3 linked regions of the Cricetulus griseus genome follow. The protein of the gene in region 2 purifies or fractionates together with the protein of the main gene of each other region. This does not show direct contact. Links are inferred from orthologs where the notes say so. Each region holds a gene or a part of one and is shown on either strand. Other genes may lie near its edges.

Region 1 (10,533 bases), about 110 Mb from region 2:
GTGTTGGCCCTGGGTGGGGCTGGGGAGCCACAGCTTTGAGGGCAGACCCGTTTCCAGATGCTTGCCCTTGTGGCTGTGAAGCAGCCTGCTCTGCGCATGTCCCCCTTCAGGGGGATGGGTAAATCTCTTCACAATGGTTGTTTTAAGAATAAAGGCTGTCCTGGAACCTCACTTTTACCCAGTACTAAGCAAGCCTTTGGGAAAGATCACCAGATGGAGCCTAAAGGCTCCGGGCTAGTGGACAAGCAGGACAGGGCTCCTTGTCTACCTCAGGGCCTAGTCAAACGTAACAGAACACCCTCAAGACTATTTTTCTTCTTTTATTAGAATTTTTTTTCTTTTTTTTCTCAAAATGTTTATCTAAAAACAAAACAAAAGAAAAAAAAGGAAAAAAAATGACTGGAAACTTCAAGGATCAAATGGGAGAAAGGAGAGGAAGCCTGGAGTGGAGGCCCCAACCTCTCCAGAGCAGTCCGCACCCTAGGGCAAGCAAAGCCAGGCAGCCCCTCCACACCCGGCCTCCGACTGGGCAGAGGGCAGTCACAGTGGTCCAAGGGCCAGAGGGGCTGGGGCCTAGGAGTCACAGGAAATAGTCAGCCACCGGCTTCTTGGAGGGGATGCCACGTGTTTCCTGTGGTGCAGCCTCGAAGATGATGAAATCTTTCTGGAGATGCTCATCTAGTTCCAAGATGGCTGCCACATTCCCACAGCTGGATTTAGGAACAGCACAGTTAGCAACAGTTGGCCTAGATCCCTACTCCTACCCCTACCCCGGCTCCTGGTCCTGCCAGCTTACCGGTAGCAGTAATTAGGTGCTGACCACACAGTAAGCACGGTCTCATTGAAGTGCCACTTGTAACCTTCCATCACCAATTGATGGGCGCGACAGATCATGTCAATGTCATTGGCTGCATTGAACTGGGCCACCACATCACTGCCAAACAAGTAGCCTGCCCCACGGGGGCTCACTCCCCAGCCTGTTGTGTCTGAGACAAGACAAGGACAATGTGTGGGGTCCTCTGGTTGACTACTATACCACAGAATTAGAAGCCTGTGCCTCTTCCCCTCATCAACCAGAGGCTTGTTCTAGGGAACCCTGGAAGATAGGATAGTAAATACTGGAGCAGAGGCACTCCGAGGAGAAAGATGGCTTCATGGCTGGGACCTACCTCCTCATCACAGTGGCCATAACATACAATGTGCTGTTCAAGCAGCACTCAAGTGATAGGAAGTGCTCACACCCAGAGCACCAGCCATGACCAACCACTTTCCTGGCAGTAAGGTCACCTTATGCCACATGACGCAGACTGCAGTAACAGTGGTGGAATTAGAGAGTATGCTTAGGACTGGTACTCAGAAAGCCAGGCTTTAAACCTCAGTTCCGCCCCTAACTAGAGGGGAACCACACAAAATTAGGAACCGTCAGAGGTCTTCGTTCTAAGGGAATGGGTCTCACCTCCAAAGAAGCTACTGTCAAGGTCTATGACCTCTTCCCCCCAGGGAGCCAAGGGTTTCATCCTGAACAGACCCTCTAAGCCATGAAACTCATGAGCCAACCCACAGTAGGCCTCAGTGCACCACCATTCATGCTTTCTGCTCCTTGAGGAGGATCCAGTCACACAAGGAGAAGGCAGAAGCCAGTACAGGCCAAACTTGCCCTCCTCTTCCCTGCCTGACTTCCCTTCATACACTTGCTTAATCCAGTCTTCACAAGACACACGGAGAGCCAGCTCAGGTATTGCCCTCACCTTCAGGGTCAGACCACAAGAGGTCACACATGGGTCCATCATGGGGTACCTCTTGCTTTCGGTCAATTGTCCGGATCTGGTCCAGGGTCTGGATGGAAGGGGAGAGGCCCCCATGCACACAGAAGATCTAGAAGGGAGAATGATACCAGAGAGAAGGAACTAAAAGCCCAGAGACCCAGCACAGCCTCCCCCTCCCCCCAGGAGATCCAGGGCCAACCTACCTTGCCATCAATGATGGCAGACAGGCTGAGGTAGTCAAAGATCTCAGTGCAGTAGCGCCATACAGTCACTGAACCATATTTGCGCAAGCATTCATCATAGAAGCCATAGACCTGGGTGATCTGGCGGCTCTCATGATTGCCCCGGATCAAAGTGATGCGGTCAGGATATCGAACCTAGGGGTAGCACCAAGCAAGAACTGGTTCTAGTCTCTACCTCCCACTTAACCATCCCAAGTCTCCAAGACATCCATTAGCCTCACTCAGTCCTCTGCCTGGCCCAGACTCCCGCAGTCTCTTACATAAATCATGGTGTCCCTGCCTCACAAGCTCCTGAGAGCCTTTTCCAGAAGCTACTGCCAGACTCTGGCTCTTGTCCTTAGCACCCCACACTCACCCCATGTGGCCCTTCACTATGACTTCTCCCAGTTCACTTAACTCCTGCTGCTCCCTGAACACACAGCCTCTGCCTGCTTTCCAAAACTCACATCACCAGCCTCTTCTGTAAGGGCTCAGGAGATGGCCCCACTCATGGCAGCAGTCCTGACTAGCCCCGCTAAGCACACAGTCCACAGCCACAGCAAAGTTCCAAGGTAGGTGACAGGAAAGGTGATGAGGGCAGCAAGTAGTGGCCAAAGCTCAGGCTCCAGGGGCCAAGAGTCCTCACCTTAAGAGCCAGCAGGAGGAGGAAGGTTTCAACACTGTAGAAACCACGGTCCACAAAGTCTCCCATGAAGAGGTAGTTGGTCTCAGGGACATCGCCACCTACCTGGGAGGAGGGATACGACTCTGCTTGGCCCCAAACTATCCTCTCTGGCTACAGCAACCAGAGTCTAGCTGAGCCCCTTCTCTCACCCACAGACCATGCAGCCTAAGACCTATCAATGATCATGGCTTTCTGTCACCCTAGGTTCAAAGTCCCAGTATCCCCCCACTCACTCTGAAAAGCTCCTTGAGGTCATAGAATTGTCCATGAATGTCACCACATACCTGGAAAGAAAGAATGTGGGTTGAAAGAGTGGACAAAGGCACAGTCCCTCTATTCCCAGACACCATCCTTCAAAACACATGTTACTTTCCAGGCCAGCCAGGGTGACACCACCCCATCTCAGGACCCAAATTCCCTCTCTAACCCAAGTGAGCCTGTTCTGGTGTCATCTATCACACCAAAAGCCAACTGCTATGGTGCAGAAGAGTCTTTGCAGGCAGACTTGCAGCTTCAGGAAGACTGGCTTCATCCATTTGCCTCTATGTGCTCAGCACAGTTACTAACAGGGCTATTGATCCACAAACTTCTTCTGCCTTGGCTGCGAGCGTCACCAGGACAAACCAAAATTCCTACAGCATCTTTTATTTTCTTGTGGCACATAGAACACAACTCAAGACCTCATATATACTGGGGAAACATTCCATCACTAAATTACAAGATCTGTGCCACTATCTAATTCTTGCATCAGGGCTCACCAGATGATTGAGAAGCAAGATACCTGGGGTGTTCTAGCCTCTCATTAACTTAGAGGTGGGGGGCTGTTACACCACTTAGGATTTCCATGTGTCTTAAAAGACCAAGTCAGGGTCCAAGAGACAGAGTACTCACTGTGACTGGCGAGTCCACCCTCTGCACGTTGCTCTCTTCTACCAAGATCTCTCTGGAGACAGGAGAAGACCAGGGTCACCACAGCCAGGCCAGCCCAGCCCAATTCCTGACCTTTTTTGGAGGGAGGGAGGACATGAGGTAGTCCTTGAACCTCCAGGGGACAGAAGGAAGTATGCACTTCCCCATGAATCTGGTCAGAAAGCACTGACCATGGCCCTCTACCACTCAATACCTGCTCATGGCTTCCTGCTGCCAACTGGACAAAGTCCAATTTCTCACTTCCACCCCAACTCCTATTCAAGCCCTTCCAAGCAGGCTGGGGCATATCCAGCCTTGATTCACCCTGTGGTTCCTTCTCAAAAGTACAGCACACACTCTGGGAGGGTTGTCCTTTTCTCTTAGAGCACTGACTGTCCCTAGGCTGAGTTCTGACCTCACTCCCTACCAATCGGATACACTTTTTCAAAGGGTTGTGCTGCTCCTTCCTTGTAAACAATAAATCTTATTTATTTTTGGAGACGGGATCTCATTCTGTATCCCTGGCTAGAATGGAACTTGATGTTTAGGCCGAGCTAGTCTCAAGCTCAAGAGATCTGCCTGTCTCTTCCTCCTGTGTGCTGGAATTAAAGGACTGTACAGCACACCATGAACACACAGCTTATGGAATTGGCTCTAGTTCTTGTAGTGTGACTACTTCTCAAAATCCCTTTGGTAGTTCCTGATGTCCAATCTCAGCAGTCCTCCATTTCTAAACCCAAGCTTGGCAAGTGTAGCATAAACACTGCAGCTCACACACAGGCCAACGCAGCACGGAAGGTTTGTTAGGGCTGGTGCCATGGGGCAGCCAGCACTGGGGCAGGCATATTCCGAGATTCCCAGCGCACACTGATTGCTTTGAGTTCAAGACCAGCCTAGTTCAAGGCCAGCTAGGGCTACATGGGAGGAAACACAGACACACAGATACCCTCGATCGCACACTCGCACACCTCTCCCTCCTGCCTCGAAGGATTGGAGGGGAAGGGTAAGAACTATGATACTGTTCTATTAAACAGGGTAGAAGCCACACTGAGACAGTTCCCAGAAAAGGCAGGTAACAAGCCTTAACTGTTGCCTACATATTTCCCTTTTACTTCTACCCTGCTTGAAGGTTCCTTGTCCCTGTGTTTCCTCAGCTAGAGTTTATCTTTCAAGGACTACCCTCTTTTAGAAGCCCAAGAGCGTCAATCCACAAATACACCATTAGTGTGCCCTTCCCACCATAAATATTACCACTTCATGACTTACCCAAACACCATGCTTCAAGCCGAGATTCACTGAATGAATATTCACAACCATTTTACTGAACATCCTCACTCAGTAAACCAAGCTGGTGTGGAAGGAACTCATTATGTTCTACTCTAGTTTACTGTGTTTTCCTTAGGATCCCAACGGAACATGAGAGTGACCCAACTACTTCTTGAATCACAACTTAAAGGATCAGCACTCAGAGAACCAGCTTCAGATCCCATTCCTCCTTGCTGGCAATTCTGAACCATTATAGCCCTTGCTTGTTAAAGTGAGCACAAAACCACCTAATCTTTAAGGACTGATAGACTTTTACAAACCACGAGGTTTCTTGTTTGTTTGTTTTCTTGAACCTGCTTATTCTTCAAGGTCGGTCCCAGAACTCAAGCTCTCCAAGAAACTTTCTCTTTCGCCCCAGTAGAGCAGGCCGGGTTTCCTAACTTTCCTAAGAACTTTTTGCCACTCACTCTGACTCCACTAGAAACGTATCTACAGCCGACCCGTGGTTCCTGGGGAGAAGTGGCCCTCGGGACCGCTCCTCTCCGGGAATGCTTCCGGGATGGGACAAGCCCTAAGTTCTCAGCTGAGTGTGCCCAGCCGGAAACCCGTGGGCGACGGGCCGGCCTCTCTCCTGCGGACCTGCGGGCTCACCTGGCCTTCGCGCAGAGGGCCTTGACTTCGCTCTCTTTGATGAGCTCGCAGCGCCGCAGTTGCTCGATCTGCCGGTCCAGGTCGCTGATTTCCGCCATGGCCCACCCCCCGGCGCGGGTCAGAGTCGGGGCCGCCGCCCCCTCCGGACCGCACAGGGGTCTCCTGGGAAAGGCGAAGGCGAGCCCGCCAATCAGAGGGTCCGTGCGGGAGGGGGGACTCGATTCTAGGACCGCCCCCCCCTCCCCTCACGGCGGTCCAGGACCCTCGGCGTCCCGATGCCCTGGCCGCACCCCGCCAACTCCCGTCGAACCCCGCGGGCCCGCGCTAAGGACGGTGGCCTAGAGGGGCCTCGGACAATTACCGCCGCTAGGACTCCGGCTGGGTCTCTCCGACTCCCCACTTCCCTCCGCTTTGGGCCTCCGCCACCGTCGCTTCTACTTCCGGCCTCGCCGCGGAAGCAAAGGGAGGCCAGATCGGTCGCGCGCCGGAAGTGACATATACCGATCACGCCCCTCTCGCGGCGCACGGGAGGAACTAAAGAGTCGGAAGTGGGCGGGCGACCGGGTCTGGTAGGCAAGCATCTCTGCGTCAGTTATGTACGCCAAATGACGTGAGCTCTGGTAAGCTTGTCATCTCACATTGCACTTTCTCTTGCTGACTTTCTGTCCTGCTCCTACTACAGATCTGAGAAGTGAACTGCTCAGTTCATCGTTGCTTTCCCAGTGTTTAGAATAAGGCTAAGCATTGCAGACATGTATAGTCCAAAATGAATGGGCCAACCCTAGCCAAGTATCTTGCCATGGGCCTTTGCCATGGGAACTCAGAACCTGGGCCAGGTATGTGGCACATTTATTTGTAATCCCAGCATTCAGGGGGCTGAGGCTGGACCGAGGATTTGAGGGTCTCATAGCTACATAGTAACCGCTCGGAAAAACAAAACCAAAACCCACCAAAATAGCATATTTGACACCAAGGACTGCCTGTCACCAAGCCTAACTGACTTAAATTGGATCTCCAAGACCCACAGGGGGTCTAATTGGAAAAAAAAAAAAAAAAGTACCTACTCTCCCCACATCAAGCTTGTTTCTAAGATTCCCTAATTCCAGAATAGTCTATTATCTATTTCTTGACAGGGTCGCATTGTAACTCAGGATGGCCCAAAATTTGCAGTTGACCTTAACACACAGCAAATCTCATCTGGGCCTCCCAAGTGCTATGATTACAGGTGTTACACAATCACACCCAACATTACTTCCTATTGTCTGATCATACTCCTTCAGGGTGTTGGTGGCTCAGGTTAAATTGCTAAATTGAAAAGCTAAAAATTTGGTGTTTGAACCAAGGATCAAATGTGAACCCAGGAAAAGTGGTTCTCATCTTTCATTTACTTTCTGAAACTCAGAGCAATACAAAAAAGACCTAACACTCTCCAAATTCACATTGAAAGTCTTCTGATTCCTTAATCTTTTGATGGAGTAGCCTGATTTTTAATCTTCCTAATTTACACTTTTGAACATCATACTCCCCTTTGGAATGTCTTTTACCATCCCTCAATTTTGAACATGTTTTTATTTATGTGTTTTCTAGAAGCCAAGGGATGGTGGCCCACACCTTATCCTGGCAGAGGCAAGTGGATCTCTTGAGTTTGAGGCCACCCTGGTCTATAGACAGCCAGAGCTACATAGAGAAACCCTGGGGGGGGAGGGATAGGAGAGAGATCCCAAACAGAAAGATTGTTTCCCAGAATTAAATTAGAACCAGATGGATGACAGGCAAGTGTTCAACCACTGGGCTATAGGCCATACATAGAAAGATGTGGACAGCAGACTTTTGATACTCCAAAGACTATTCTGTGCATAGAAAAGTGTGAAAAGGAAAAATATTTTGAAAGGGAAATAGAACAGAAAAGATTCAGACCAGGAAGGTTACAGAAACCACAGAAAACTAAATGGTTAAGACTAAAACAAGTCCCCGTTTATACCTATAATCTTCAACAACTTTAAATTACTAGAGGTATGATGGGGCTGAACACTTTTGAGTACCTTTTGCTCTTCCAGGAGGCCCATGTTCAATTCCTAGCACCGACATGGTGGCTCTCAACCATAACTCCAGTTCCAAGGGATCTGATACCCTTTTCTGGGATCCAAGGACATCAGGCACACATTGTACGCAAACATTCAGGCAACACTCAACATTGGGTAGTCCATAGTTTGGTGGGGGGGGGGGGGCCTTGTTCTGCTCTGTCCTTAACCCGAAACCTGAATTCTGCAGTTGTGTACCTGAGTTCTGTGTGTACCTATATCTGCGTGGGAGAAGATTGAGTCTTCAAAGGCTCCTAAAAAGCCATTGGTAATTCCATTTCCTGTTGCAATGGGAAAATAGCTACGTTTATTAAATGCTTTGTTCCCACCAAGAAAGTTTCATCTTGGGCAAGATAACAAAGCCTAAATTAGGAATGAGAGAGAGGGGTGTCGCTCAGTGGCAGAGTCCTTGCCTAGCATTCACAAAACCCAGGCTTGGCTCCCAGCCAAATAGGCTCAGTGCCCTATGCCTATAACTCCAGCAGATCACTCCCTTTCAATTAGATGTGGTTAGAGCATTTCACAATACTCAGCCTTCCTCAAAAGTATACAGATCAACAAAGCCTTATTGCATCCTTTTAACTACCCAGAAAGGAAGAACCCAAAATAAGGCTCTCTCCTCAGGCCTCCCGTATCCCCTATAAGACATGGACAACAGACTCCCCCCTTAAATAGCTGTTTATTGGCAGTGGGCTGGATGGGATGGCAGAATTAGCATTCAGAGACAACACCACACACCAGTCACGAGGGCAAGAGTGATGGGAAAGAGCCTGAAGGCCCCCTCTTGAACACAAGTGGGTAGGCAGGGGCCTGGAGTGTTGATGGGGCAGCCAGCCTTAGATCACCTCTGGTTAGTAGGCATGATTAGAGATGAAGAGAGATTCACTGGCTGCAGCTCCAGACTGACCACTTGGGGTATACTTTCCTTGACAAGCGAGGCTGTTGGCCTAAAAGGGAAGAGAGAAATCAGGTGAGAGCCAAGTCCCCTCCACTTGCTCACACCCCCCCTTTCATGATGCTTTACCAGGGCTCGCTTGATGTACTCCTCCTGGGCAGCCTTCAGATTCTCCTTCTTCCCACCCCAGGCCTTCAGAGCAGAGGCCTGCAGGGCTCGGCCATAAGAGAAAGTCAAGGCCCATGGCTTCAGCAGTGGGCACTTGTTGATAGCATTGAGGTTGATGGATGCCTCTTCCTCACTCTGCCCTCCAGACAGGAAAGTGACCCCTAGAGAACAAGGGCAGAAGGAAAGAGGTGGCCTTCGTTAAGAGATAGATGCAGGGAGTAGCCGCCAAAAGCTACCCGGAGAGGCCAAAGTGATGGTGTATCCACTCCAGCAAGCCAAGGGAGTGGGCCTCACCAGTAACAGCAGGGGGCACTGTGCGACGAAGTGCTGTGACAGTTGCCATGGCAATCTCCTCATTGGAAAATTTCTGGGTACAGGCATGGCCTGGGGTGACCATGTTGGGCTTCAACAGTGTGCCTTCCAGATAGACATGGTGGTCACTCAGAGCCTTGTAGACAGCAGCCAGTACCTGGAACAGGGCAAGGTGAGATGAAGGACAAGGACCACCTGAGTGGAACCCTGCCCACCACATTACCCTGGCTAGAAAGACAGGCAACCTACCTTCTCAGTTACATACTGACAGCGCTTTAAGTCATGGTCCCCATCAGGGAGGATTTCGGGCTCCACAATGGGTACAATGCCATTCTGTGGGGAGGTAAAGGGTAGTGTGAGGACTCCTGACTGGGAACCCCACCTACAGCTCTCCACCATCATTAGCCAAGATCTTATCTTGAGGATAGTGAATCAAGGCTTCAAAGGCCTCAGCAGATTACAGGGGACAAACAATTCCCCCTTCATGCCAATTCCCATCACTGCTTTGCAGAGTGGCCTCCACCAGCAAGCCTGATGCTTGGTAGGTATCTATTAACAGTTGCTCTGGAGGAGGTAGATATCCTGGCAGATGGACAGAAAGCTAGCCCATGTAGTTCAGTCCCACCTGCTGGCAGATGCTGGCATAACGGGCCAGAACATTGGCATTTTCCATGATGGCAAGGGCTGAGGGAGTATGTTCCCCAATCTTTAGCACACAACGCCACTTGGCAAAGTCAGCTCCATCCTTCTTGTACTGGGCACATCGTTCAGACAGCCCATCCAGTCCTGAAGAGGGACAGAGTAAAGAGGGGCAGGTTTGAGATTCTCCTCATGCTAGAGCTCTGCTGAGCTCGTGGGGAAGGGAAGGAGGCAAACCATTCTCACCTTGAGTGGTGGTCTCACCATTGGTTCCTGCCAGAGGCACCACGCCTTTATCTACCTGGCAGGGTACAGGGCAACAATTTAGTTCTACCACCCTTTCCTCTACCCAGGTCAACTTCAACCCTCACTGCAGCCTCTCATATTTTACTGAGTCCCATGAGGAAAGATACACACAGTATTTGAAAGGAATATTAATTAGAGGAACTGGCACTACCTCTCACTAAGCAAACCATTTCACTCTTTTTTTTTGTTTGTTTGGGGGGAGGGGTGGTTTCAAGACAGGGTTTCTGTGTCTCTGGAGGCTGTCCTGGAACTAGCTCTTGTAGACCAGGCTGGTCTCGAATTCACAGATGTCTGCCTGCCTCAACTTCCCAAGTGCTGGGATTAAAGGTGTGCACCACCACTGCCCCCCATTTCACTGCTTTGGACTAATTTATCAGCTGTAAATGAGGAAACACCTTACAATCATAGGGGGTTGTGAGTCCAGCAATTGAGCACTTGCCTAGCATGCACAGTGCTTGGGTGCTGAGTGCATCCCCTTAAGTCTCAGGCAGACCATACCTTAAGTCTCTAGACCTGCTAACCCAGCATTCCATCCCTGCCCTATTAATCCATCTCCCCAGATCCATCTCTAATCTAATCTTACACCTCCCCTAGGGCCCTTACCTTAATGCCCACAACACCGCCCTTGGACTTG
Region 2 (10,818 bases):
CGTCATCCACATGGGCTCATGCTTGATTACTTTCCAGAAAGGAATCAATACTCACGTAGGGTGAGCTGAGCATGAGGTCTAGTTTCAATGCTCGGAACTTCAAAACAAAACTACAGATCCTGACACACCCACCTGCAACAACTCAGGAACATTCACATAGAGCTGACTCTCCTCAGGCTCTGTCCTCTTAGGAATAAAAGTTAGAGAAGTGCCTGATGCCACCTCCCACAGCTAACTATCTTCAGTGCTTTATACCTGCTAACCCACTTAACAGTTAGTGTATGAGCTGTGCCCATTTTACAGATGACAAAGCTGAGGCAAAAGAGTTAGTTCCAGGACACATAGCTCCTAAGCAGCAGGGGTGGGATTTGAACTTTGGAGGCTTAGTTTCAGAATCAATTAATCTGTATATATCTATATATCTAATTGTTTTGTTGGCATTGGGAGTTGAATTCAGGGCCTTATACATAAGTGGCAGCTGTTCTACCACTGAGCTACACTTCCAGCCTAGAATCTATACTCTCTCTCATAGCTATTTCTGATCATCTTCTTCCAGGTTATGATATCATTCTTACTTATTGACTGGTGTGTGTGTGTGTGTGTGTGTGTGTGTATGTATGCATGATGCATGTGTGAGTATGGGTATACATGGAGGTCAGAGGACAACTTTCAGGATACAGTTTTCTTCTTCACTGTGGGTTGTGGAGACTGAACTCAGGTTGGCAGTCTTGTGCAGCAAGCACTTTCCCTGCTGAGTCACCTCACCAGCTCTGTACATTCACTTTAATGACACAATGCTATTCTGACATTTGGTCCCCAGTTGATGGGTGGGAAAAGGTGCCAGTCCTTGGTTCAATCTCCACGGTAAATAAGAACAAGAAAAAAAAATACAGTAACTCTGTCTCCTAATTTCCCTTGTTACTAATTTGAGTGTGAAGACATACTGTGAAACTTGATCTCTCCACCAGGCACATTCAAGGAGCAGCAAACAAGTAGAGACTTGGCCACCAGGGAAACAGTTCAGAGCCCGCTTTGCATCTTCTGCACCCTGGAGGGTGACTGTTGTTGTGACTGATGAAAGCGCAATGTTCAGACACCTAGGGCTGGCATTTCTTGCTCTTCCACTGCCTGAATTTTCAATTAAAGCTGCTCATTCAAAAATTCACTTACCTGCTGGAGAGATGGCTCAGTGGTTAAGAGTGCTGGATGCTTTCCCAGAGGTCCTGAGTTCAATTCCCAGCAACCACATGATGGCTCACAACCATCTGTAATGAGACCTGGTGCCCTCTTCTAGTCTGCAGGCATACATGCAGGCAGAACACTGTATACATAATAAATAAATAAATAAATCTTTTTTTTTTTTTTTTTTTTTTTTTTGCTTTGTTTTTCGAGACAGGGTTTTTCTGTGTGGCTTTGGAGCCTATCCTGGCACTCGCTCTGGAGACCAAGCTAGCCTCAAACTCACAGAGATCTGCCTGCCTCTGCATCCCGAGTGGCTAGGATTAAAGGTGTGCGCCACCAACGCCCAGCAATAAATAAATCTTAAAAAAATTCACTTATGGCCTAATTCACTTGTGGACAGGCAATGGTGGCACACGCCTTTAATCCCAGCACTCGAGAGGCAGAGACAGGCCAGCCTGGTCTACAGAACGAGTTCCAGGACAGCCAAAGCTACATAGAGAAACCCTGTCTTGAAAAACAAAACATAACAAAAACAAACAAACAAACAAAAAATTCACTCACTATATCATCCAGCTGTAGACAGACAGGGTCCTCATCCCTCCCAAACCTGAGAACCAATACTTTCTCTGCAGTACTTTTGATCGCCTGGTCCACTTCTTTTTTGCTCGTCAGTTTCGGCAAGAGGAAACTCATCTTGAAGAAAATTTCAGTGTTAGTGTGCACGACCAGTTCTACAATGTTTACAGGCTGTTTAGATGAAGTTCATGAGTCCTAATGTAAAGAACAAAACAACACCATTTAGCATCAGCCATGTAACAGGCAATTTAAAAACAAACCTTTCAGGAAAAGTATCTGTGAACAGGCCCCACCCGTGGCTTGCCATTCTTGGGCCCAGCTTCCAGAACTTCATGTGCCATCCTGAATCATCCACCAGGTAACTGCTTTCAGTAATTTCTCTTAGAAATACATGAAAAATTATGTACCATACCAGAAGAACACACACATGCTTCTGTATTTCCACCCCCCTTTTACACAAGAGATAGAATGTATTATAAGTCCAGCAAGTAAGAGATGACATCCTCAAATGTGGGGACTGGATATTTAGTTAGAACAGAACAGGAAGACAAGGCAAAGCCTGTAACTTCAAAGCGCTGATCCCACTCAATAGTCTGTGGAGCTGTGCACAACTGAGTAGGAAGGTAGCTGCACAAAGACAGGTTGGCCTGCCACTAAAGGATACTGCTATCCCCACCCTCAATATCACTGCCTGACTCCAAATGGAACCAGAATTTATGGGAAGTGCTGAGGCAGACAAACTTGCTGATCTCAGCATTCTAGGAGGACGAGCAGTTGGGAATAGCAGAGGCTCAGTACATAGCTCACCCATCTCTCTGCACTTTGCATTGTTTTAAATCTAACATTTAATGAGATTCCCATAGCCCTACACAGAAAACGTCCAGATTTTTATCACGGTAGCATACCATTTCATATGTGGACCACACTTTAGTGGTCCTTCATTGATGGACGTTTGTATATTCTCGTGACCTGGCTTAAGGCGTCTTCCTAGGTGCACTTTATCACATGGCAAACAGATCAGTTATGAGTGTGTGGAGCCAGGCGCTGTGGCACACACCTTTGATCCCAATACTTGGAAGGCAGAGGCAGGCAGATCTCTGTGAGTTTGAGACCAGCCTGGTCTATACAGTAGGCTCCAGGACAGCCTGGGCTACATAGAAAAACTCTTTCTTGAAAAACAACAACAACGAAAGTGTGTGGAAATCACAATTAAATAAATATTCCAAGATATCATCAAAGGACATACTTGAACATGGACAAGTGATTATTATTTCCACTAAGGGTCTCGTTTAGTAGCTCAGGCTGGCTTTGAGTTTGTGGCAATCTTCCTGTCTCTGCCTCACAATTGCTGGGATTACAGGAGCGTGCCACCAAGCCAGGTAGATAACTTATTTACTCAGGGCGGATATGTCTACTTTCCAAAACGTTCCGCACCTGTGTTTTACAAGATGCGGGCGGTTGGGTTACTCCTGGTCCACAGGTGCCAGGGAGGACACAAACCACCTGTCAGCAGTCCGGATTCCTTCACCGATAGCCAAGGCACAACTGTCTCCTTCATCGGTCCCAACCCGGGAAAGGACCTTAACCCCAACTAACCTGGGCTGTTGCTTAGAAACCCTTCTTTGGCCTGCAAACCCGAACAAACGGAAGTGAAAATGAAACACGGACGCAGAAAATGAACGTACCATCGCGCGTCCCAGTCAATAGCCCAATAAGCAGACGGCGTTATTATAGTTCTCGCCCATTTGGCACTGCCCCAACAGGAAGTTATGTCATTTCCGCCCTTAGTAAATATGGCTGACCTCGGTCTGTCTTGCCTCTCACGCCCACAGGCCAGAGGCGGGGTATCAGCTATCACTCTAAGCACGATTGGTCGCAAGGAAACCTGGGGCCCAGAGGAAGACACCGTGGCTTTGAAGGCGTGTTCACGTTGTTTCTCTCTGGCGTCCAGGAACCTTGTATTTCTGGGCTACTCTCGATGGTATTTTTGGACGGATAGAGGACCCCGCGCAGGGCATTATGGGACAATGATGGCCGCTTTCAAACAGTGGAATTTACCTCTTTGAGACCCTCAGACCGAGCAGTGTTCGCGCTGGCGTCCCCAGATCAGTGGCAGAAGGTCCCGAGAGTCGTGCTTGGTGAAGTGAGTATCTCTTCCTCTTTCCAGATCCGTCCTTCGGCCGCCATGGTGGCTCCAGGCGGCCGGGGTCGGTTCGCGGCTTAGGTTTTGGGCCCTGGTTTCAGAGTTCCTCTTGTCCTTGTTACCCAACTTTCTCTACTCACTTGAGCGGTCTTGTGTCTATTCAGCCTGCTCCGGACTTTGTCCCCGTTATGGTCACATCCTTGTGTTTGGGAACGGCCCCCTGAGATCGAGGCATCCGCCCTGCGCCCTGGTTTATTTAGGACGGTGCCCTAACCTGTTACCTAGAGAGTCTGGATAGGGCTCCTGCTGCCTTCCTCCTTTCTCACCGAAGTGTCTCCATTAAGTCTGGTGGTTAATCTATAGGTAGAATATTAACCGCAAAGGGCAGGGAGTTTTTGGTTTTTGTTTTTAAAATCGGTATTGTTGAGAACAATTGACTCAAGGACACATGCAGTTGCTGCCCAAGAAGTCCTTTGTGGCTTCTGTGTCACTGATCTTTCTCCATAATCTGGCCCTGGAATTCCTTGTTTGCTATTTTGAGCGGACAATTAAATCCTTCCTTGACCTGTGTTGTGGATAAACTTCTTGTTGTCCAGAGAAATGTTTGAGTTCTTGTTCTCTTTTAATAGGATATATTTATTCATTTGCTTTAAAATTAGACTTTCATTTTGCCATTGCTGGGTTATAGCAGTCAACAAGACAGCCTCTCGCTTGTATGCAAATGACATTTTAGGACATAAGTCATCATTCAGGTAACTGCTGAGAGTCTGTGTACCTCAGTCTCCCCGTCTGGATTTCCTCATGTATATTTACATGTAACTTTCTTTTTCTGCTCCACCTGATGGAATTTCCAAATGAAGCTCTTGTTTGTTCATCTACATCATGTTTGCAGTACTCCTTGGTAGAGCTGTGCATGCCGATTAGAATATGGCAAAAGAAGTGTAGATTCCAGAGGTACAGTTCTTATGCTTTAACGACTTACTGGAATGAGAATAATTGTCTGTGTGTCCAACATAAGTTCATGCTTCTAAGTAGATGGTATCAGTTAAAGACGAGTGTGTTATCAACCAGGAGATCTTGCAGTCTCTTAAACACTTTCCTGAAATACCACTTCCTTAACTTAGCATTTCTCATATGCAAGTTTGGTAAATACAGTTTCTTATTCAAGAGATTTTTGCCAGCTATGGGCAGCTTTTTTTCCCCCCTTTTTGCACAAAACACTACTGATCACAACAAAAGTCACCAAGTGTGTAGAATATGGATGGTAAAATTATGTCCTTACACTTACACTTTGTGGAACCTGTGGCTTCAAGGGGGAGGGGATAGGTGAGTAGAAGAATGTATATAAAATATTAGAAATATTAGTAAGGAAACTAGTCAGTATACAGGGGCATAATAGCAAATGTGTAATAATTACACTGACAAAACATCTATGGTTCATGTACAGTTGTTAGATTCTCACAGTGGTTCTGTGCAGTGTATAGAGAAGTAATAGCTAACCAAGCCTGCTGCTTACTCTCACAGAAGCAGAAAATGCCAAGAGCCTGGGTATCTTTTTTATTTTTATTTTTTAATGTCTGTTACTAAAGAAGAGGGTGTGCTGCTGCAGCTGACATGAAAAAGGCCAGCGTGTTTGGTTGATGTTTGGAGGCAGTAAGCCAATGGGGATCTTAAAGGTGATTATTGTGATTCTTAAGTAGAGAAAGTAGAAGGGTGAAATTACAGGAGAATAAATTAAATAATGGGTAGGGAAAATCTATGAGTGAGGGCCATGGGCATGAATGAATGAATATGTCACTAAATAGTCTAGCAGTTATGAAACTCACTATGTATCTCAGGCTAGCTTCAAATTTGCCATCCTCTGGAGCCTCCTCAGCTTCTCACCTGCTAAGATTACAAGTGGGTGTCACCGTGCGTAGGACCAGAAACTGGATTTTAATTGAGGTTTCTGACTTACATCTAGTTCCCCTTCTAGTCCCTTTTTGTATTCCAGTAAGAAGTCCTTACTGAAGTTTATTCTTGTCTGGATGATACCCTCTTGATCCTACCACTTGCTCTGTGTATATGTGTCTCTGTGTCTTTCATATATGTTGAGGTGGGAACTGGGAAACTTTTTGAGATCGTCACTGATTTGGTGGGAAAGTCTTCGGAAGTAGCAAAGGGGGCTAGAGAGATGGCTCAGTTGGTGAAGTGCCTTCTCACAAGCATGAGGATCCGAGTACAAGGAAAGCTATGAGTAGAGGCACTTGTGTGCTGAAGAGGCAGACACAGGCAGATCCCAGGAGCTTGCTGACACCCTAGCTTGGCTGGATTTACTCCCAGTCCAGTGAGAGACCCTGTCTCAAAAAGTAAGGGAGCAACTGAGAAAACACTTGACATTGACCTCTGGCCTCATGTGCACACAGTGCCTGTGTACCTGCATGAACACACACACACACACACACACACACACACACACACACACCCTCTGATAGCAGAAGATGCTTTGGGCTCAGTGTAGGGATGGGGTAGCCACTTAAATTTACTAGTTATTCTGGGGTGCGGTAGAACTGAGTTTTCTTATGTTCAATTCTAATGATTCCTGTTCCTTCCAGAGAAATAAGAGCCTGTGATGGAGGACACTGGTGAGGATGCCTCCATCCATCGACTGGAAGGCACCGATCTGAACTCTCAGGTTGGTGGTCTTATTTGCAAGACCAAAAGTGCAACCAGTGAGCAGCATGTCTTCAAAGCCCCTGCTCCTCGCCCTTCATTGCTTGGACTGGACTTACTGGCTTCTCTGAAACGGAGGGAGCGAGAAGAGAAAGATGATGGAGAGGACAGGAAAAAGTCCAGAATCTCTTCTTACAAAGACTGGGAGGAGAGTAAGGATGACCAGAAAGATGCCGAGGAGGAGGGTGATGAGCAGGCCGGCCGGAGTGGCCGCAAAGACAGGTAAGGAAAGAGGGTAAACATTGGTGTCAGAAAATAGTAGCCCAGGTTTATCTCAGTTCCTGCTGGACACCTAAGAGCTTTAGGATTTTATTGTTTTTCTATAATACTGGTGGCGGATAGGAATTGGTAGAGATTTGTGGGAAAAATTCAAAGGCATCTAAGAAGTGGATGATGGAGTTTAAATGCCTGGGTTCTTGCCATGTGCAGGCCTTCAGCACTGGGGAGATGCATTGGAGAGGAATATTGCTTGTTGGCATACCCAGAGATAGAGGGAAATGTTTTCTTCCATGGAAGGCCCTGTCCCAGCTGGTCTCCCTGTTTCAGGCATTACCGATCTGCTCGGGTAGAGACTCCATCCCACCCTGGGGGAGTGAGTGAGGAGTTTTGGGAACGCAGTCGGCAGAGAGAGCGGGATCGGAGGGAGCATGGTGTCTATGCCTCATCCAAAGAAGAAAAGGATCGGAAGAAAGAGAAATCCCGGGATCGAGACTATGACCGCAAGAGAGACAGAGGTAAACTGCCTGTCACCAGTTCTGTTGCCCTTCATCATTTGAACCAGCAAGCCATTCTTTCCCTGTTGCAAGAACTTTTACAATAATGCTCATTAATTGCTTGTAGTACAACTGCTTTGCTTGAGTATGTGGTTCTTGTTTTATTGTGAAAACTGAGGATAAAGGAAATGATGGGTAATCTATTTAAGAAAACAGTTTAGAGTAGCATGGGTGATGGAGAAAGGACAGTGTTGTGGAACAAAATGAGACAGTCCAGTACCAGCCTTGATCATTATGTCTGTAGCTGAGGTTGGCTACACCACTAAATTCTTCATGATAGACATGTAACTGTTCACTTATGATTCTTGTTGGAAAGCAGCTGTTGTGTGAGTTTGACCCTTTCTATCCATTGAGAGGATGTGAGTGTGTGAGTTTTAGCCCATGGATGATGGGGTGTACCTGTGTGAGTGGGGAGGTGTGTGCTTTCTGTCCATGCGTGTGCATATGTTTTAGCATGGAGTACATATCTTTAAGCCCCATGTGTGACTCTTATAGATGAGCGGGACAGAAGTAGGCACAGCAGCAGATCAGATCGAGACGGAGGCTCAGAGCGCAGCAGCAGAAGAAATGAGCCAGAGAGTCCTCGACATCGGCCAAAAGGTATTCTGAGCTCTGTGGTGGCAGAATGAGCAGTAGTCAGCTGTGTTGTCAGGCAGTGAGTTGGAAGTCCTGATTATAGTGTGACCCTCTGGAGTTAGGGGGCCTGAGCACGGTGGGTGTGGTCCTGTCCCTTGCTTGGGTGGATGTACTTCCCAAGGGGATAGGTTGTTTGCTGCAAAACAGGTGTTTCAGATGTCAGGAAACTAGAGATGTGGTGGATCAAGAAGGATTTATTGGAAAAGAACTATTTGTTTTAAGATGAAGAGGTTTGCAGAGAGAAATTGATTCAAGCAGTGAAAGCTGAACTGTTAAATTCAGTCTTTTTAAAAATTCTCATCACACACACACAAAAAGAAAAATTCTCATCACTGCCAGGCAGTGGTGGCGCACACCTTTAATCCCAGCACTCGGGAGGGAGAGGCAGGGTGATCTCTGTGAGTTTGAGACCAGCCTGGTCTACAGATCGAGTTCCAGGACAGGCTCCAAAACCACAGAGAAACTCTGTCTTGAAAAACAAAACAAACAAACAAAATTCTCATCACTATCTTATCTATAGTAAATAAGTACAAGGTTATGAAACAGGGAAATAAGTTGCAGCAGTCAGGATATCTCCTCTGGTGAAGGCATTTGTTGCTAAACTTTATGATCTGAGTTTGTTACCAGGACCCATATGGAAGGAAGCCAACTCCCGAGAATTGTCATCTGACCTCTACATTTGTGCTGTGCCACATGGATACACACAGTTAAATAAATAAATGTAATTAAGAAATAAGTTAGGAAACTAGTTATGGTGGCTTATGCCTATAATCCCAGCACTTTGGAAGCTGAGGCAGGAGGATTGTAAGTTTGAGGCCAGTGTCACCTACATAGAGATACACTGTGTGAAGTCATGCCTCATTGACATTGGATGTTTACTGTGGATGTCTCTGGCCCCAGATGCAGCCACCCCTTCAAGGTCCACCTGGGAGGAGGAGGACAGTGGCTATGGCTCTTCAAAGCGCTCTCAGTGGGAATCACCCTCCCCAACACCTTCCTATCGGGACTCTGAGCGGAGCCATCGGCCATCCACTCGAGATCGAGACAGGTGATGGATAGGTGGGATGTGGGCAGGGAGAGTTGCTGGCGGCGGGGAGGACACAGTTCAGCTTAGTGACAGCTGACCTTGATGTTTCCAAGGACTGTGAGGAGCAAGTACTCAGATGACACCCCTCTGCCGACCCCCTCCTACAAGTACAACGAGTGGGCTGATGACAGAAGACACCTGGGGTCAACCCCACGGCTGTCCAGGGGCAGAGGTAGGGCCTGGAGGCAAGAGCAGAACTGGTTGGTTCAGAGGGGGTTGGGGAGATGGGGGGTGAGGTGGGGGCTGCTGAGTGGAGGCCGTACGCAAGAAGCTGTGCAGTCTTGCAGTTCTTCTGGTCCCCAGGGTTAGCTGGAGTTGCATGGGCCGACCTCGACATTTGCTTTCCTTTAGGAAGACGAGAGGATGGTGAAGAAGGGATTTCATTTGACACGGAAGAGGAGCGGCAGCAGTGGGAGGATGACCAGAGGGTAAAGGCGACATCTCTAAGGGGCTGGACAGGAGGTGGTGCCTATCCCTACAGGTGTGGGTGAAAGGAGGTGTTAGAACCAAGGGTTCTGAGGGGGCCCCAGCAGGACTGGGCTTGAGGAAGGAGATTAATGCTGGTCCGTCCAGGGGCCTGGACCTTTGGAGAAACAGGCTGCACAGTGATGCTTTTGTACTGATGCAGCTAGTCAGATGGGGCTCCTGCAGTGGGTGCCTCTGTGTGCTAAATGTGAGACATGATGGCATGGCAGCCTGCCCTGTGAAGTCAGAGCTGTCTGGTCTCCTCCTGGCCTTGTCCAGGTCTCTTGTGCTGATCACAAGCTGCTCTTGGTGTTCTTGGACTTCTTACCAGATACTGCTTTGCTCCTGTGTGGCTGCATCTCCCACATGCATGTGGCCTGTCCCTGTTCTCATGCTTTGTCTCATCCCCTGCAGCAAGCAGACCGGGACTGGTACATGATGGATGAGGGCTATGATGAGTTCCATAACCCCTTGGCCTACTCGTCTGAGGACTACGTGAGGCGGCGGGAGCAACACCTGCACAAACAGAAGCAGAAGCGCATTTCAGCCCAGCGTAGACAGATCAATGAGGTGAGGCTGCAGCAGTGGCTGGTGCCAGCTTAGAGCAGAGGTGGGATGGATGGGAGGAGTCTTCAATTTGCCAAGTGATGATGTAACACAGCCGGCTGTTTATAGACAGAGCCAGGTCAGATAGGCCTCTGTGGAACAGGAACAAGAGCAGGAAGCTTTCGGTAGCTTAGAACACCCGGCTCCTCCTCCTCTCTCCTGCAGTACTCTGTGAGGGCCCCGTGGGGAGAATGGTATGGTGATGACTGCCTCTGGGTGTATTTGTGTGTGTGTTAGGGCTGGTGCCCAGCTGCTTCTTGGGACAAAGTACTGCAAGTGCCTCAGCTTTAGTAGTGACTTCTGAATAAGGAGCTGCAGGGTGTAGAGTCCCACTAAGAGTCTGTCACGTGTGGACTGGCCTGCTAACCTTTCAAGATCACCTCTTAGTCGCAGGCTAAATGTGACTCTCCTTGTATCCCCACAGGACAATGAGCGCTGGGAGACTAACCGAATGCTCACCAGTGGGGTGGTCCATCGGCTGGAGGTGGACGAGGACTTTGAGGAGGACAATGCAGCCAAGGTGCATCTGATGGTGCACAACCTGGTGCCTCCTTTTCTGGATGGACGCATCGTCTTCACCAAGCAGGTAGGGCTTCTGTGCCAGAGACTTGGACGTTAGAAAGCATTGAGGGGGAGAG
Region 3 (10,675 bases), on a different chromosome or scaffold from region 2:
GGTAAGCAAAAAAGGCTGTTATTGTATAGCTAAAGAATACAGTGCTTGTCTATGCTGTGCAAGACCCCAAGTTCAATTCCCAGTACCTCAAAAAGCTAGTACTGAAAACAGAAAAAGAAGAAACACCCCACCCCCAATTTCTTTTTAAGTCTGTGTTTGAAAATACCGAAAAACTATCGAAGAATCGAAGCATTAAAATTTATGAATAGGAAAAAGATGCTATGGGCACTCACTGAAAATTTATGTGAAGGGCCTAACCCCAATATCTAGTATACATAAGTGCTTAATAACTTGGATTTTTAATTGACGACCATTTGCAAAAGGAAGTGGGGCTTTGACAACGGTGACCCAGCTCTACATGACAAACACAAGGTTCATGATACTGCTTAGTCAACATTCCATGCAAACTGTTATCACTTCTAAACTTCTAGTACACATTCTTAGCTGGATAACTTTATATGAATCTCATAGCCCGTCATAAGAGGGGCTGAGTTAGCATCAGAGTTCTTGGGCTAGGGATGTTGTAGCTTAGTAGAAGAGAACCTGCCTAAGATGCACAGGGCAGTACTGGAGGTTGGGGTAAGCTGAAAACTTCTGAGTTCTTGTACAGCTCTATCGTCTGCATCAGCCAATTAATTAGATTCAGGTGGATGTGCATGCTGGGTTTGGTTCTGGTGATAGTTACAAAACAAATACTCAAAGATTTTTAACAGATAGCTCCATCCCTTCATTTCACTCTGTCCCAACACAACACAGCTTTTCCAGAATACTGTCTTCACTAGCATCACAGCTTCAGTATTCACTAGCAGAAAGAACGTACCACCAAGAATGAGTTAATGGCCAGGTGGCATGGCTCATGCCTAAAACCTAGTACACAGAAACTGAGGAAAAAGAACCCAGATTTGAGGCCAGCCTGGACTATACAGCAAAGACTCTGGTTTGAAACACTCAGAAGGGTTAAAGAGTACTGGTTGCTCTTCCAGAGGACCCAGGTTGATTACCAGTACAAACACGGTTCTATCAATCATTTGTAACACCAGTGCAAGAGGATACAATGCCCCCCTCTGGCCTCTAAGGACACTGTTTGCATGTGGCAGCACTGAAAAGCATGAAGGCAAAACATCCATATGCATAAAAATGTAAACTATTAACATTAAAAAGTATATCCTGAAGGCTAGAGAAAAGGCTCAGGCTAAAAGTGCCTGTTGTCTTAAATCTTTTTTTTTTTTTTCTTAATTTATATGTAGGAGTCTTTTACCTATACCTGGTGCCCAGAGGCCAGAGAGTGCACTGGATCCCCTGAAACTGGAGTTACAAATGGTTGCTACCCGCCATGTGGGTGCTAGAAAATCTTACCCAGGTCTCCTGAAAGAGCAGCCAGTGCTCTTAACCACTAAGCCATCTCTCCAGTCCATTGTTTGCTTTTCTTCCACCAGATCAGCAGTTCCCAACCTGTGGGTTATGAATCTTTGGGGAACACATGCAGATATTCTGCTTATCAGATATTTACATTACAATTCATAACAGTAGCAAAATTACAGCTATGAAGCAGCAACAAAATAACTTTATGGACATGGTCACCGCAACATGAACTATATTAAAGGGTCGCAGCATTCAGAAGGTTGAGAACCACTGCTCTACATGATCCAAGTTTGGTTCCTAGCACCTACATCAGGTGGCTCACAACTACCAGTAAAAACAAACAAAAAACCCCTTTCTTTATTCATCACAATGAAAATTAAAAAAAAAGAACTCCCAATTACATGTAACAGAATGGAGAAGCACACAATAATGGGTGATCCAAACTGGTAGCAGACACCATAACTTTAAGCAACCAGGCAGGGCTACAGAGTAGGTAGGACCCTACCTCAATCAATCAGTGAAATGAAACTATCTTAGGGCCGAGTGCAAGGCTCAATTGGTGTTTGTCTAGCATTCATGAAAGCCCAGGGTTCAATCTCCAGCACTACATAAAGCATGAAGATGCAACATAACTCTAACCTCAACATGAGGAAATAGAGGCAGGATCAGGAATGGAAGATTATCCTCACTACGTAGCTAATTCGAGTAAAACTCAAATTTTGCTTTCTTTGAAATAATCCTTGAGGCCAAGAATACAATAGCACACAAATAGACCACAGCATAAGAGATTACATTCATCGTAATTAGCCATAAGAGCTTTAAGCTGCAGGCTAGATTTCTCACTAAAATACAGACCACCATCCTAGACTGAACCAACCTATAATTATTATCTCAGACTCTAAATTATCTATAAAACATGGCTAATTTGAGAATGGTTTTAAGAATTATGTTTGTAAATACAAGTGAATTGCTTGAAGAGGCCCTGGCACATAGGAAGCACTCAATAAACTTCTATTACTAATCTTATTTGGAATTTACCTGTAAGGGGGAAAAAAAACTTTAGTATTAGAACTATAAATTTCTTCATAAGTATCCCACAATTTTTCTAAGTCCATTTTTTCCTTTTTTGTTTAGGGAACGTTTTACTATGTAGCCCTGAATTCTGAGATCTCCCCCTGCTTTGCTTCCAGAGCGGTGGAATTAAGAATAAGGTACCACACCCGGATTAAATACATTCTTTGAAATTAGCTTTCCTTGTAACACAAATTTACAAGGTTTGGATTAGTAATTTTGTTTAGCTCTTTTCCTACTTGGGTAAAAATAAAACATTTTACCAGTTGTAATAAATTAGAACTTCAAATCTCCAAATGGAGAAAAAAAGACTTACAGGCTACTTCCTAAGTGATAAAAATATGAAAGAGCATAAAAACATCAGATTTTTACAAAACCTTGTGTTTTTGTTTGTTTGTTTTTTGAGACAGGGTTTCTCTGTGGCTTTGGAGGCTGTCCTAGAACTAGCTCTTATAGACCAAGATGGTCTCGAATTCACAGAGATCTGCCTGCCTCTGCCTCCCAAGTACTGGGATTAAAGGCGTGTGCCACCACCTCCCGGCACAAAACCTAGTTAAGAGATTTTCCAAGATAGCACTGAATTAAGTCTTCATGATCATCCTTTCAAAAGGTCTTTGTAAACTGGTTGACTGTGGTAGCTCACTGCCAGCAATCACAACATGAGGATCTGAGGCAGGAGACACAGAGAACAGCTACAGGGAATGACTCTAAAACAAAACAAAGAAGTTGGATTGAGGTGGTATACCGATAAATCCCAGAATTTGGAGAGATAGACAGGAGGACCTGGAATTCCAGATTTTTGGTACTACAGGAGACTGTTTCCCAAAAAAACAACAAAAAGGTCTTCGTATAATCAAATAAGGCACACTGGTGTGAAGAAATTCAAGGAATCAGCTTAAGCCTACATATAATTAAATTGAAAATTCTAACTGGGTGTTTGCTGGAGTTAGTTCAGTGGTAGAGCACTTGCCTAGCATGCTTGAGACCCTGAATGCTATTCCCAGTAATCTCACCCTCAAAACAAGCAGCTAATTTAACCTTAAAAGCTTTATTTCTAGTGTGGTGGTGGCACACGCCTTTAATCCCAGCACTCAGGAGGCAGAGGCAGGCAGATCTCGGAGTTCAAGACTAGCCTGGTCTACAAGAGCGAGTTCAGGACAGGCTCCAAAGCTACACAGGGAAACCCTGTCTCGAAAAACCAAACCAAACCAAACCAAACCAAACCAAACCAAACACCACCACCACCACCACACCTTTATTTCCAATTTACTTTTCATTTTCAACATACACAAAAAGGTAGAGGTGGAGGTCTTTACACATTCAACTTGTACTTTTTTTTGTTTTTCGACACAGGGTTTCTCTGTGTAGCTTTGGAGCCTATCCTGGCACTCGCTCTGGAGACCAGGCTGGCCTCGAACTCACAGAGATCCGCCTGCCTCTGCCTCCCTTGTGCTGGGATTAAAGGCGTGCACCACCAATACCCGGCTCAACTTGCATTTTTTAATGCTAAGTAAGAACTCTGAAAAATATACCTACTGAGCCGGGCGTTGGTGGTGCACGCCTTTAATCCCAGCACACGGGAGGCAGAGGCAGGAGGATCTCTGTGAGTTCGAGGCCAGCCTGGTCTCCAGAGCGAGTGCCAGGATAGGCTCCAAAGCTACACAGAGAAACCCTGTCTCGAAAAACAAACAAACAAACAAAAAAAAAAAAGAGAAAGAAAAAAAAGAAAGAAAATTATACCTACTATAATCAAACTTTTTTCCCCCCTAGACCAAGTCTCACTATGTAACCCTGGCTGACCTAGAACTTTATGTAGACCCAGTCTGACCCTCCAATTCCCCCAGAACTGCCTCAGGTTGGAGACTATTAAAAATATCTGCAGAAGTAACTTTTCAACCACTGGGGTATCTTTATAAAGATAACCTGTGGGTACTATACTCCAAATTACCATTTTCCATTTCAAATCAATGCTTCTACAATCTTCAATTACAACCAGGAGAATCTTGTTTTTCATGGAATGAGTTCTGGGTATAGTTGAAAGAATAAAAACCTTTGAAGTAAGTTTGTAATAATTCAGATATGAAACAACTACAAACACACTAAACTGACCCTCAGATTAATGCAACAAGGTAACTAGATTTATACCCTAAAGTAACAATTTGAAAAGTTTTGCTCAACATGTATATTTTCTTTCATTAAGTGAAATTCACAGAATGTAACCAAGGAAAACGGCCAACCCTGAAGAAACTATTAATTTAAGGTGAGAAACCGAATCGGGTGGTTGTGGCACACACACACACACACACACACACACACCTTTAGAGTCCCAGCACTTGGCAGGCAGATCTCTGAATTTGAGGCCAGCCTGGTCTACAGAGGGAGTTCCAGGACAGTCAGGGTTACACAGAGAACCCTGTCATAAACAAAACAACGACAAAAATACGTGAACCCATTATTTTGAACAACTTGGTCTTCGGGCCCGGAAGGCTGTTTCAATAGACCTGAAGGGAAAGCAGAAACGCAGATTCAAGGTTTAAAAATACTTCTCCCCACCTGTTAGTTGACCCCAATGAGGACCATACACTTAAGCAATCAAAGTCTTGCAATAAAATGTTCCAAAGGTTCAGAGGTTCCCACAGTAGAATTACAAACAAAGTCTGCCCCTTCTTGGCTAGGCATGGTGGCGAACTTTAATCCCAGCATTGGGGAGGCAGAGGCAGGCGGATCTCTGAGTTCGAGGCCAACCTGGTCTACAGATGGAGTTCCAGGACAGCCAGAGCCACACAGAGAACAAAAAACAAAACCCTGTCTCAAAAACACAAAACAACAACAATCTTTCTTTCTTATGAGAAAAACAACCAACACCGGACAAGTCAAATGTATCCTCGCAAGGCAAAGCAAAGCAGCATTTCCTCTGCCTGGTGGAGTTGCCAGATATATAGACCAGCATTGCCGACCCTTAAGATCCCAAAGATGTAGTGGAAAATGCTCAAAAATTAAAAACAAAACAAAACACCAGGCCAGAACATTCCCCAAAGTGTGCAACAGCTATGAACTTTGATGAGCTCCAGGCAAGGCCTCACGTCTGTTTCACAGACGGGGGTGAACTAAGGGCAGATGGTATGTAAAGTGCCTTTCCCCCCCAGCCCCCCCTCAGGGTCACGCAAGTGCAAAAACCACGCCGGGCTCCGGATCCCAGGTCCCCGACCTTTCCGCACTCTAAAGGCGGCACGGCGCAACGTGCTCCGTGCGCTCCGCTCGGCCCCGACCCTCCCCACCGCGGGGATTCCGGGGCTCCGGCAACAACACCCCAACAACTCTCCACCCCATCCAGGGGGCTTGGGTACCCGTCCAGACTACCGTACTCCCAACTGCTCCCCGGGAGCCAGTGGGCTCCGTCCACTCACCGTCGCTCTCCGCCCTGACGAGCAGGGACATGCCCTTCAGCCGCTCCACGTAGCCGGAGGACACATGGCCGGTGCCTCGGTCGTCCCACTGCCGGTCCTCGTTGAGCGTGTAGACCTTCACCCGCCGCCGGGTGTCGGTCATCGTGCCGGCCGGGGGCCCCGCCCGAGTGGCCCGGGGACTGTGTCCAAGAAAAGCGGGCGGGCGGCCGCAAACGGGAAGCTCCGGGACCTCAGTGCCGCCGCTGGCCGCCGCGGAGCCGCGCCGCCGCTCGCATGGCCCGCTCCCGGGGCCGAGCCCGGGGCCGCCTTCGCTCGCCTCCCGCTCCTCGGCGCTATTGTCCAGGCCGGGTGAGCGCGGCCGCCCGGCAGCCCCGACAGGGAAGCGCAGCGCTGCGCAGCCTAGCGGCCCGCCGTCCGAACAAGGGGCAGCTCGGTTCACAGGCCTGCTCCCGCCTCCGCCATGACCTCCGCAGAGCCGCTTCCCGCGCCGCCGCCGCCGCCGCCTCCTCAGGCCGCCGCCGCCGCCATGTTTTCCTCCCTCGTACCTGGCCCTGCCGCCGCCGCCGGAGCCTCCGCTCCGCTCCTCCCGCTTAAAGCATCCGCAGCCGACGAGCTAGCGCTGCCCGGGAGACTCCGCAAGTCCCTGGCGAGCCGAGAGCCCCTCGCTCTTCTTCCAAGCGGCCTTCCCTACCCCACCGCCTCTTCCGTCTTCCTCACAGAGCCAAAGCCGCCGCCATCTTGACTCGCCCCTCAAAAGGCGGCGCGCGGGGCCAACTAGGCAGAAGCGGCAGGGGCGGCCCGCAGGCCCCACCACTTAAAGAGACAGGACCCGAGCCAGCGGCCTCGCGCCGGCGGAGGCCTCGCACCGAGGCGGACCCGGAGCTGCGGGGGTGGCGGAGCGGAGGAGGCGGGACGCGAGCCGCGCCGGTGTCGGACCGGGACTCCCTCGCGCTGCCCTGCACGTACTGTCGTGCGAGCGCGGGCTGCGTGTGCGTCCGTCGCATTCTGAGTTCGTCATCAGCCCTGTTCTGGGCTGGGAAGGGGTGTGGAGTCGCCTGGCGGCCTGCGAGCCGGCCTGGGTTCTGGACGCTGATCCCGTAGCTCGCCCACGTCCTTGTGTGCTCCCCCCCTCTCCCACCCCCGCCGCTTTCGGGGAGGGCTTTTGCACGGGTCTGGCCTCCTCCTTTGGCCTGGAATCGAGAAGCTTCTGGGGGAAAAAAACTAAACAAAACAAACACTCGTTTGGGCTGCGGGGTGGGCGGGATGTGGTGGGCCCCGCACTGGGCGCGGGGTTCGTTTCGTGGGAGAGGGTCATTCTGAGCACTCACCTCACAATACAACGGGTACCGGTTATCAGAGTTGATGTCCTTTATTTAGCTCTTTGCGTGTGTGTGTGTGTGTGTGTGTGTGTGTGTGTGTGTGTGTGTGTGTGTGTGTGTGTGCTAGACAAAACAAAGCAAGCCACATCTTCAAGTGCTTGCAAAGATAAACGAAGTACTGTATGGTCAAGATAAATTTCTTTTTGTTTTTGAAACAGGGTTCTCACTGAGTTGCTCCGACTGGCCAAAGCAACGTATGTGAGAAGCTGGGACCTTCCTCACCCACAACTTCAGAGACAAGCGGAAGCCGTGTCTGAAAGCGTTTGCAAACAAAAATTGGGAAGCATGTAAAAATAAAAACAAAAACAAAACAACAACAACAACAAAAAAAAAAACAAAGCGTTTGCTGTTTCTAAGGACTGGAATGCAGTCGTTCCAAGCATCTAGATGAAGCCCATGGACTACCAGACTGACCAGATTAACAATCAGTGTGGCGCAACGCTGTGCTGCTTATCTTTTTTTTTTTTTTTTTTTTTTTATTTTTGGAGACAGGGTTTCTCTGTGTAGCTATGGAGCCTATCCTGGAACTCGCTCTGTAGACCAGGCTGGCCTCGAACTCACAGAGATCCGCCTGCCTCTGCCTCCGGAGTGCTGGGATTAAAGGCATGTGCGTGTGCCACCAACGCCTGGCTATGTGTGCTGCTTATCTTAAAGCAGGAGTTCTCAGCCTTCCTAAGGCTGCGACCCTTTAATACAGTTCCTCATGCTGTGGTGACCCCTAACCATAAAATTATTTTGCTGCCGATTCCTAACTAATTTTGCTACTGCTATGAATCGTAATGTAAGTATCTGCTGTGCATGGTCACAGGTTGAGAACCTCTGTTTTAAAGGGACTTGGAGATAAACCAGGAGAGGCTGCACACCAAATAAATAGTTCCTTATCTGCCTTAATTCTTTACTCATCAAAGAGGAGACTGTTGCTTTCAGTTCTCTCTGAAACTGGGTTGCTGGGGAAAGAAAACTGGAAGAAAGCACACCTAGGTAGAGTCACAGTATTTCTCTCCTGGAATACTATGAGAAAGGACATTATTTATAGTCAAATGTGTGACTTCTGGAGCCACTCCCCTCTAAAACAATTTTATTCTAAATTGCTATACTCTGGGTCTCCCACTCCTCCCACCCACAAAGTGCATTTTTGGGACTTTGAATCAGGCCATACCAGGATTTGTGCTTCTCAGAATTTCACAATAGCCAGCACCCAGCAGAGTATTTTAATGTAGACTTAGTAAGAGAAGATTTAGGAAGTGAGGAGCTCAGAGGGACATTTGACAGTAGAGTCACAGTTTTTTTGTTTGTTTGTTTGTTCTTATCTCTCCCCCCCCATAGTCAAATACAGGATTTGGGTGGGTTTTGAAATTACTATCTTAAAAAGGTTACTGAGGAAGCCAGGTGGTGGTGGTGCATGCCTTTAATCCAGAGGTAGGCGGATCTCTTTGAGTTCGAGGCCAGCCTGGTCTACAAAGCTACATAGAGAAAACCTGTGTTGGAAAGAAAACCAAAGGAAAAAGAAAGAAAGAAAAAAAGAAAAGGTTACTTCGGAATCTAAATGAGGTCCTGAGGGGCAACTGACAAGATTATAATTAATAAGCTAAAACTCTAGATCACAAGAACATGGGTATATTTACTATAGATAAGGTTGACCCTCTAATAAAATTCCCAGAAAATATCTGGGGAAAGGAATGAGACCCTACCTTAGTTTGTGTACATCCAGACTTTAAGCTTTGCTGTTTTGAAAGAAATCTCTCTCTCTCACACACACACACACACACACACACACACACACACACACACACACGAACTATATGTTGGGGGGCAGTCTTCACAGCAAATATTGTTACAGTGAAATTCTTCTAAACTTCAGTCACTCTGGAGAGGGCCTCTGTGGACATCAGACTATGTCGGACTCTAAGTTACTCCATATTGTAGCTGTGTTTAGGCTGTGTCTTGCCCAAGGAGACCCCATTCCACAAGCAGCTCTTGATTCCATTTTGAGGGAGAAGGATGACTGCAGCCCCTCAGTGAACCCATAAATCTTACAATCTGACAGGTACCATCCACCCAGCACAGACCACAATACATTACATTCCTGGGAGTAGAAAGGGAGCTACCCTATGAATTGAGACTGTAGGAGGACATGGGTCTATTAAAATATTGGGGTGTTTCTGTTACTTTTCAATGGCTGTGACAAATACTATGACATAGGCACAATGCTGAAGCAGTAGCTGAGAGCTTGTATTTTGGGACAACTACCATGAGGCAGAGAGAGCTATCTGGGAATGGCCTGGGCTTTTGAAACCTCAGCCAGCCAGTGACACACCTCCTCCAACAAGGCCACACCTCCTAGTCCTTCCCAAACATTTCCACCAACTGGGCAATCAAACATTCAAATATATTAGCCCATGGCACCATTCTCATTCAAACCACCACAAAGGGGGCTGGAGAGATGGATCACCATTAAGAGTACTGGCTGCTTTTCCACAGGAACCAGGTTTGAGTCTCAGCAACCAAACAATGGCTACCAAACGTGTAACTCGGGTTCTAGAGATTCAATGTCTTCATCTGGCCTCCACAAGTACCGCATGGTATGTAAGTGTAGGTATAATGCCCATGCACATAAAAATAAATCTTAAAAGCAATCAGGGAAACAAAGCCCAAGAACATACAGAACATGCCAGACTAAGGAAAAGGAGTAATACCCGGACCCCACAAAGAATACCAAATACTGTGACGGCATGAGCCACACAAAGCTATCATCTGATACTTGGTTTGCCTGGCAAGGACCAATAGGCAGAGAACTCCCTGTCTCCAGAACTTAGGCCTTGCTTGGGTACCCTGCTGTTGACCTGGTCTGCTTGACTGCCTGTCCATCTTCCTGTTAGCCCATACAGGGGCCTGATCCCTCTGTTTTCCCCTATCTTACATCCAGATTTGGCTTTCACCTCCTAGCTGAAACTGTAGTTGCGGTAGTAGCTACCTTCTGGAACTGGGCCTGGTTGGTTATTTTATTAATACAGACTCAGGCCCTTTCTCAAAAACTGCTCTGCTGCAAGTTTTTAAACTGGCATTCATTCTGTAAACCACATATAAACATATATTTACTGTGATGAGTCAATTCTGGTGGTTTAAATGAAAATGGCTCCCATAAATTCAAAGGGAGTGGCACTACTGGGATGTGTGGCCTTGTTGAGCAAGTGTGTCACTGAGGGTAGGCTTTGAGGTTTCAGATGCTTGAGCCAGGGCCAGTGTCACTCTCTCTTCCTGGTGTCTGCCAATCAAGATGTAGAACCCTCAGCTACTTCTCCAGCACCGTGTCTGCCTACATACCACCATGCTTTCCATCATGATGATAATGGACTAAATCTTTGAACTGTAATCCAGCCCCAATTAAATGTTTTCTATTATGAGAGTTGCCATAGTCATGGTGAATCTTTACAACAATAGAAACCCTAACTAAGA

What was found. Proteins that work in one complex are often made in the same cells at the same time.
Region 1: the proteins of Dhx38 (region 2) and Ppp4c purify together in Homo sapiens (affinity purification with mass spectrometry; 5 studies listed by BioGRID and IntAct, with this or other methods). This does not show direct contact. The link is inferred for Cricetulus griseus from reciprocal best matches to the Homo sapiens genes DHX38 and PPP4C.
Region 3: the proteins of Dhx38 (region 2) and Ppp4r3a purify together in Homo sapiens (co-immunoprecipitation; 3 studies listed by BioGRID and IntAct, with this or other methods). This does not show direct contact. The link is inferred for Cricetulus griseus from reciprocal best matches to the Homo sapiens genes DHX38 and PPP4R3A.

Annotation. Positions count from the first base shown.
Region 1 is NC_048596.1:73,945,258-73,955,790, reverse strand, and holds Ppp4c (serine/threonine-protein phosphatase 4 catalytic subunit), read right to left. Parts: upstream 6,013-10,533; 5' UTR 5,860-6,012; intron 5,661-5,859; 5' UTR 5,597-5,660; coding exon 5,499-5,596; intron 3,616-5,498; coding exon 3,564-3,615; intron 2,957-3,563; coding exon 2,906-2,956; intron 2,736-2,905; coding exon 2,634-2,735; intron 2,144-2,633; coding exon 1,970-2,143; intron 1,876-1,969; coding exon 1,749-1,875; intron 987-1,748; coding exon 797-986; intron 711-796; coding exon 581-710; 3' UTR 339-580; downstream 1-338. Other genes in the region: Aldoa (fructose-bisphosphate aldolase A), read right to left, coding at 8,431-8,526, 8,604-8,803, 8,937-9,111, 9,204-9,287, 9,580-9,740, 9,840-9,894, 10,503-10,533. UniProt on the Homo sapiens protein: Protein phosphatase that is involved in many processes such as microtubule organization at centrosomes, maturation of spliceosomal snRNPs, apoptosis, DNA repair, tumor necrosis factor (TNF)-alpha signaling, activation of c-Jun N-terminal kinase MAPK8, regulation of histone acetylation, DNA damage checkpoint signaling, NF-kappa-B activation and cell migration.
Region 2 is NC_048596.1:185,929,096-185,939,913, reverse strand, and holds the start of Dhx38 (pre-mRNA-splicing factor ATP-dependent RNA helicase PRP16), read left to right. Parts: upstream 1-3,596; 5' UTR 3,597-3,901; intron 3,902-6,495; 5' UTR 6,496-6,512; coding exon 6,513-6,835; intron 6,836-7,159; coding exon 7,160-7,347; intron 7,348-7,881; coding exon 7,882-7,986; intron 7,987-8,922; coding exon 8,923-9,070; intron 9,071-9,162; coding exon 9,163-9,281; intron 9,282-9,460; coding exon 9,461-9,537; intron 9,538-9,988; coding exon 9,989-10,144; intron 10,145-10,604; coding exon 10,605-10,766; intron 10,767-10,818. Other genes in the region: Txnl4b (thioredoxin-like protein 4B), read right to left, coding at 1,744-1,875. UniProt on the Homo sapiens protein: Probable ATP-binding RNA helicase. Involved in pre-mRNA splicing as component of the spliceosome.
Region 3 is NC_048598.1:104,672,220-104,682,894, reverse strand, and holds the start of Ppp4r3a (serine/threonine-protein phosphatase 4 regulatory subunit 3A), read right to left. Parts: upstream 6,013-10,675; 5' UTR 5,983-6,012; coding exon 5,841-5,982; intron 1-5,840. UniProt on the Homo sapiens protein: Regulatory subunit of serine/threonine-protein phosphatase 4. May regulate the activity of PPP4C at centrosomal microtubule organizing centers.